Drosophila melanogaster: one gene and its partner. The protein of the gene in region 1 interacts with the protein of each later gene in a pairwise test. Each region holds a gene or a part of one and is shown in the gene's direction. Other genes may lie near its edges.

Region 1 (5,113 bases):
GAGGAGAGCACTTTATCTTCAGGCAGTTGATAAGCCAATTGATCTATAGAAGCTGGATGTTCTGGGTCATGGATCTCACCTTCGATTGTGCGGAATACAACGGCACCGCCGATATTGTATAGTGCCAGGATGAGGATGAGGAAGATGTGGGTGAACCATCGGCGCGACCACTTGTACATGCCGAAGGTCATCTTCTCGCCGAAGCTCAAGCCCGACTTTGTGATATCGAGGAAGCCCTCGTAGCCCTTGGTCATAAAGTTGCCGTATCCGAAGGGATTGGCCATTGGTGGCCAGTAGGGTCCCTGTGTTCCATTGCCCGTGAAGTTCGTTTGGGCCGTATAGGGTGGCTGGGCACTGGGTGGCATCGATGCCTGGCTCATTGCCGATCCGCTGGTCAGATTGTGGATGTTGATCCTGGGCGGTCGATTTGCCCGCCGTGAAGGCGGCGGTGTGCTGGGAATGGGTGTTATGCTCTGGGTTTGCGACATGGTCGGTTTTTTTTTTGGTATATCCGGGAATCTATATGGATTCGCTTTGCAATTTTCTAATTGATATCCGTAGGAACTCAAAACATTGGGCACTTTATGGTCATTATTCAAGTTCCGTTCACATACATATATCGCGGCGGTTGTACTTATATATTTGTATTATTTTTAAGTTTATAAGTAGAAATGCCGTCGCGATTCCAAGGCGCCGCGTATTTATTTCTTCGCGTACTTTTTTTTCCCGCTTCCGACCGCCTCGTTCCTGAATCCAATGCGAACTGAACAGACGCCAAATATTTTGGCCAACATCGCTGCTGTTGTCGCTGGGCATAATGCTGTAGTATTTGTATCGGCCACGAATCTCCGGCTGCCGACTATGACGACATCGAAAGTCATGAGCTCACAAGCCTGCCAACAAGTCCAAGACCTAGAAGACCCAACGGATCTCAGCGTACACTGACGAAAAAAATGGTCTATGTAATGCCTAATGCTATGATTTAATTAATATTATTGGCTATAAGGTGGTTAACAAATGTTTAAAGTTAACATTAGTTACAGCGTACAATTATTTTTTACCTATCGACTAAAATGTTTTCCAATTTCTGGTAGTGTACAGCCATGATAATTTTATAATTAGTCAAGTTTTCGGCTTCCTCAGCCGATGCCGAAATTCTGAAATCGAGTTTTGTTCTGGTTAACGCGTAGTTTTGTTATCTCAAATAGTTTGCTATATTGTTATATTTAAATATGTTTTCTCATTAGCTAGGCATTATTGAAGTATTCATTTTCCTCTCATAATTTATCAGCTCTTAGCGTTTTCTCGCGTTTCTGGCGCTTAATAATTTGCATAAAATTAAAAGAACTGACGGTATTAGTCATTCATGATCGGCAGTCATTTACCTTTTCATAGAATTGTGTCTAATATATTCTGCCGTTGTCATTTGGCTTACACACAAATGTTGAAACACTTTCTAGGAAATGCTTAAGAAAATCCTAAATAATTAAGAACGATTAAGATGCAATTATAAACATTATACAAATTTAAATTATATGGTATTGTTTATTTATATTCCTTACCCATTTGTTTTCTTTTTCTATTTATAGTTCCTGATGGCTGATGATAACAAAAAATTCGAGGAATATCTAGATTTAGATTTTAGACTAAGATATAAAAGGACAAAGGAGTGATTTTAAAGGATTCCGACTTTTAACTTAATAAAACGGGTTCTTAAAAAGGACACATTAAAAGGACATAAAATAAGAATACATTTGCAAATTGGCGAAGGGAAATTATTAAAACTATTTTACCAAGTATCTGTAAGTAAATATTTTAAACTTTCTATACTTCTATAGAAAACTTAATCCCAAAAGATGTTTATCAAGCTCAATAAAGTTAGATTTTGAAAACCTTTTTTAACGGCACTGCCAAGCAATACTAAAGTATTAACTATCGGTATTATTCAAATATGGTAACACCAAGAGCAGTGTTGAAAATCGCTCAAATGTATATGTTCTAATTGGTGCGCTCACATATGTACATATAAACTAATAAATTGGCCATCACACAATATAGAAAATGGAAGAAAACGAGACCCGGTCAGAGGCCAGGGAACCCACGGACCTGCCCAATGGTAAGGCAGCACCACAGGAAGCCTGAACAGCCGATAACTAACCCATAACTCCAACGGCAGGTGAGGATGACGCGACCAGCCAGCACAAACTCAGTCACCTGCAGAACGAGATGCGCAAAATGCAGAACGAGTTCAACACGCAGCGGGCGAAGATGCGGGAGCTGTACATCCAGAAGGAGGCGGAGGTCAGCCAGAGCCAGCAGGAGCGACGGCAGCTGCAGGCGGAGCTGGACGAGCTGAAGACACACCTAATGGTGGCGGACCTTAAGTCGCAGAACGAGCTGCAGCTGAGGGACCTCAAGGCGCAGGAGGAGATCTCCTCGCTGCAGCAGCTGGTGCAGGACACTATCGAGGAGACCGCGCACTACAAAGGCGAGGTGGAACGGCTCAGGCTGGAGCTGGGCAAGTACCAGCAGATTCAACAGCAGACGATGGCTCAACAACCGCAGGCCGAGTCATCTGGCGGTATAGCGCCGCAGGTGCTCAATCAGGTCAAGAAGACACTAGGCTCTGTGCGTAAACTGGGCACCGACTCCCTGAACAGCAGCTTTCAGCAGGACGAGGACACCCGGGCATCGAGCAAGGGCAATGGCAAGCAATACGTATGTTTTCGGGACTAATCTTTCAACTATCAAATTAACTGAGCTTATATTGCAGGCTCCTGAGGAGGCGGAGATGATGCACTCAATTGTCGAGCAGCTTCAGGAGGAGATGAAGGCACTAAAAGTGAAGCTGCGCGAACAGGACGAGCAACTGCAGGCCAAGTCGGCGTCCGATGAATCCGCCCTGCACAAGTCCACGTCCATGGACGTCGCCGAGAGCGCCTGCGAGTCGTGCAGCTTGGCAGAAAAGAAGACCGAAGAGCTGGGTGCCCATATAAACAAACAGCAGAAACAGGTGGATCTGCTGCAAAAGCAGCTGGTGGAATCCCGGGAGACACTGGTTAAGGAGGCGGCATTGCGCAAGGATCTGGAGGACCAGTGGCAAGAAAAGCGGGAGGCCCACAAAAGCGAAGTACAAAGCCTGCGTGACCAGGCCAAAACCAACGAGCAGCGACTGCTGGACATGCAGCAAAAGTTTCTCGAGACCAAGGACGAGGTTATTAAGCAGATCCAGCGCGTCTCCGACGACCGAGAGCGGGTCAACAAGCAACTGGAGACGTTGCAGGCGGACAACGACTTTCTGTCCGGTCGCTATCTGGCCACGTCCGAGGAGATCGACAACCAATATATCAATCTGCCCAACACGGTCGTCGAGCTCCAGGAGCTGATACTGCGACAGCAAAGCGAGCTAATCCAAGCACGCGTCAGCAGCGAATACGAGCGACAGAAGTGCACCAGCACTGAAGATGAGATTCAGATCTTGCGGGCCCAGCTGGAGGAGAGCAACAATGAAAGGCGGGCCTACAAGCGCAAAATGCAACTAGATATTAAGTCACTGCAGTAAGTTACAACCTCTTGTCTATGGTGGTGTTCACTTTGGCCCACGTTTTAAATGAATTTTCAGGGATCGGGTGACGGAACACTTGGTCACGGTACAAGCGTACGAGACTACCAAAACCCAACTGGAGCGCAAAGAGGCTGAGCTGAACAAGCAGCTCTCCGAGTGTCGCGTGGAGATCATTGAGCTGCAAGAGGCCAATGTAAGCTATCATATTTTGTTGTCACACTTGATTCTTCGCTAACCAGATCACATTACAGGAAAAGTACGCCAAAACAAATGCAGACTACAAGACGAAGATAAAAACACTACAGGAGGAACTCTCCACCATGGAGACTGTTCAAAAGGACTTTGTCAAACTATCTCAAACGCTTCAGGTGAGTGAGATATAAAAATATATGGTTTATTCACTTAATTAATTACATTGTGTTGTGCCACAGATGTCGCTGGAGGAGCTGCGGCATGCCGACACGGAGGTGCGTTGGCAGGACGATGACGATGTGAACAACTGTCCCACGTGCAATGCCTACTTCACGGTCATGGTGCGCAAGATCCATTGCCGGCACTGCGGCCACATCTACTGCGATAAGTGTCTAACGAAAACGGTGCCATCTGGACCACGGAAGCGAGTGGCCCGAGTCTGTGATATCTGTCACACGCTGCTCACGCCAAACACCGCACCCTACTTCAGTCAGGGACAGCCGCCGCAGCAGCAGCAAGGCCAGCAGCAGCAGCAGCAGTCCAACTAGGCGTTTGGGCTCCAAGCCCAAGTGATTGTGTATTATGTGTGAAGTACGATTACGATTAGTTGGTATCTCCTTGAACTCTATTGCTCTATTTCTGTGCTCCGATACTACGATTACGATCCGAGGTCAAACCTTTCCAATGCCCATTTCCATTTGCCAATGTCTATTTCCGATTTTGTTGTTCCATTATTTTGGCCCTATACATAACGTAAGCGATGAGTTGTCTATGTTAGCTTTCGTCGTAGGTAAGTTTTCGTAACTGAATTTAACTCAAAGCAAATATACAAATTAAAAACAATTAAATTTTTGTTGTTTGTCGCCGCACATCTCTACTTGAACCAACTTTGCCTGCAATAGAGTTGATATCAAAGTAATGAATTGAGTTGTTTAATTCAAAGGCGAGCCATGCAACATAAAGTTTGTGTTCTTGTTTATTTAAAAATGCTAAGAAAAGAGTTTGTAAATTATTGTTAACAATTGTATTTGTGTCTTCATTTGGTTGCGAGGAGCTAGGATTGGTATAGGTATTTGCTAAATATTAAAACGTAATAACAATTTCGGGCATGCCCATATAAATTCAGTATATACAACTCTCACTTCAACTACCAAATAATGATAAACTAATACTGCAATCTCCGCACTCAACGAAAAACGTTAGCAACTACAGACTTCACAACACACGCACAAACACGGAGGGGGGAATCACACTACTTGAGTAGCAATTACGTCTTGTTTTGGCACACATTGTCTGCGGAAGAGATAGAAAAATGATTACCCAATTAGCCCGTCGCCGGGAGATAGCTAGATTTCA
Region 2 (2,799 bases), 2.9 Mb from region 1:
ATTCGTTGATCCAAATCGAACTGTCGAAGCTCCAGCTGCTCCCTCTCCCTTCCACTTACCATTAAGTGGTCGTGATCAATGGGACGCATTTGGCGAACTAATCGCCAGTGAATTCCGTAACCTGAACTCTGAAGTTTCGCGCAAGAGGCTGAAGCGGAAAATAATGCAAGTTATGCTGGAAGTCGGCGAAGAAGATGATCTTACAAACAGTTGATTGTAGAATTATGAACATGTTTAATACAGCGGACACCGTTTTAGGTATAAATCTTTAATATATGCAGCACACAGATCATGCGAATACGTCATCGCAAGACACTTTGTATGTACATTTTAAACCCCATTCGATATAGAACGGAAGTGGTTGAACTTCGCATTGTTAAGCTATCAAAATCGTAAGGCTCGTTCTCGCTACTGGTAATTCATTTGCATTTTTATTATGGTAGGGGAGTTATATAGAGTACGTGGGACCTAATATTACGGAACAGTCGACAGCTGTTGGAAATTCATGAAGGACTGCGAAAAAGCACTAGATTCAACAGATTACAATTAGACGAGAGAGTTATATCAGACGCACATTTGTCAGAACTTAAAGTCCTTAATGGCCTGCGGCAGATCAGGTAGCTTGATGTCTTTAATCTGTTGCGGAATGTTCATACTCTTCACGGCGCTCACAGCTCGGGCAGGTGCAGCCGAGATGCCCGCTTCCTGCTTGACGATCTTGTTCTGCTCCTCGATCCTGGCCATTATGTCGTTCATATTTGTCTGCAGGACCATTCCGCCCATTACCAGTTCTGAAACGAATTCATGATAGCTGAATCTGAATGGATTGCCAAAGTAGCTTTCCCAACCTGAGAGGATGTGGTGGACGGCATCGGCGTGGAATATCAGGTCCAGCTCACACACGTTTTCGAAGCACTTGTCGAGGGTTTCCACGAACACCTGAATCAGGTCCAGGATTCCCAGTTCGCTCTCCGAGGAGTCCACGCAGAAAACGAAGTACAGCGTGGCATAGTGTCTGTAGATGAGTTTGTAATCCGATCCGCCAATCAAACTGTTGGAGGAAAGAGGTGCTTTAAGATATTCCAGGAATTTGCGGGAACAATATTGCTCACCTTCCGCCCTCCAGAAAGTTGCAAACATTATCGTCCCGCTTGGACACCAATTGGAAAGTCTCTTTGATTATTTGTTGCTGCAGGCTTTCATCCTACAAATGATAGTGACAATTTATTATGAACTAGATTATATGGATTATATGTCGCAGTACTTACGAAATACTGATAGAACTTCGATAGCCGCGGCTTCCCGTGATTGTTAAAAACGAGAATGGCTTTTATCATCTCAACTTCTAAGATAAGTCAACAAAAAAAATGAAAATGTTTAAACTGCCAGCTGTTTTGCTTTTTCGACGAGGGCTGCAAAATCAATACTTGGTATAGCATCTATAATATCGATATATCTTTATCTGACGTATTTATTTCAAAAATCTAATAAGAATCATGCATATTTTAGAAAGTTAGGGAAAATATATTTTTTAAAGCAATTTCTTAAATCGGGTGTTAAAAATCCGTACAAAAAAAAATTCTATGGATTTCTGATTGTTGCCCATCTCTAATGCCTTTAACCTCGCGGTCTCCGATTTGTTTATTTCTTATTTTTATTGAATTATGAATATTTTGACAAAAGTAAAATACAGCTGCAGGTACTCTGGGTTTTATTTTGTAACTCCCTTTAGTTAACGTATAGTTTGCAGGGTGAGCTCGGTTTTAAACAGAGATGTGAAGCAGCACGGAAAGCAATTCATGTTTGATACGCGGGAAGAAACTTCTTGGAATTCAGATGAGGTATCATCCTAAGATTTGGAAAAAAAGAATATAACTCCAAACGGCCATTTCAGGGAACCCCCCAATTCATTACCATTAGCTTGGAGGAGCCACAGAAAGTAGCTGGATTTAGTTTCCAGTTCCAAGGCGGATTCTCTGGCCAAAAATCCGAACTGATCATGTACTCCGCTGACGGAGCCCAAGTTCACCAAGAGCCATTCTACCCAGAAGATATCAACTCCCCACAGCTTTTTCAGATTGCGGAATCAGTCCGGGAAAACCCCTGCTCAAAGCTAAAGTTCGTCTTCGAGTCCAGCACCGATCTATTTGGTAGAATCATTGTTTACGATCTCCAGCTGTTCGGCTAGTCTCTGACCCAATAGATCTTACTAAATGTGTACAAAATCTTCTCTAATCAAAGTGTATAAAATCGGATCATTATCTATTGTGGTATTATCAAAAACATTGGTCCGTAATAGGATGGTCATGGTTATCAGCAATAATTGTGCTGATTCAGCCTGCCACTGCTGAAATTGATATGCGACTAATTTCATATAAATATTTCAAACTAGGTAAGCCCTTTAAGTGCTTACGAGTGTGGATCAAGGTTCAATGAAAATATTTCCACGCGATTCCCCAATTTGAATATCATTTGCATGGAGCTGGCTCGAAAAACACGCAACTTCATAGCGAAGGTGACACTCTAGTCCATGTCTTATCACCCCATATAGAAGCGTCATCAATCAGCTTAGCCCATTCCAATTGAAATTTCGTCATTTATGTATATTGCACCAAAACCATTGTTTATTTGTCCAAAACCGCACAGATAATTTAGGCATAGCTTTATGATTCGAATGCTTCATTTATAGTCGTGTTTCCAAGAGGCAACTATGCTGCAAGCGAGATCTCCAGGCGAGGGCAGTTGGGAATGCCACACTCCAGATCCGGGGAGGTGTCCTGGTGCCAGCAGCTCTCCGAG

What was found. Proteins that work in one complex are often made in the same cells at the same time.
Region 2: the proteins of Rbpn-5 (region 1) and CG34213 interact in a two-hybrid assay, tested with the Drosophila melanogaster proteins (one large-scale study listed by BioGRID).

The regions. Positions count from the first base shown.
Region 1 is NT_033778.4:21,087,875-21,092,987, reverse strand, and holds Rbpn-5 (Rabaptin-5), read left to right. Parts: upstream 1-1,983; 5' UTR 1,984-2,061; coding exon 2,062-2,116; intron 2,117-2,176; coding exon 2,177-2,718; intron 2,719-2,773; coding exon 2,774-3,558; intron 3,559-3,622; coding exon 3,623-3,758; intron 3,759-3,816; coding exon 3,817-3,933; intron 3,934-3,996; coding exon 3,997-4,305; 3' UTR 4,306-4,602; downstream 4,603-5,113.
Region 2 is NT_033778.4:23,966,558-23,969,356, reverse strand, and holds CG34213 (uncharacterized protein), read left to right. Parts: upstream 1-1,611; 5' UTR 1,612-1,664; coding exon 1,665-1,699; intron 1,700-1,750; coding exon 1,751-1,841; intron 1,842-1,894; coding exon 1,895-2,188; 3' UTR 2,189-2,233; downstream 2,234-2,799. Other genes in the region: CG10904 (uncharacterized protein), read left to right, coding at 1-214; or (orange), read right to left, coding at 580-791, 849-1,051, 1,113-1,204, 1,269-1,337; Alas (aminolevulinate synthase), read right to left, coding at 2,709-2,799.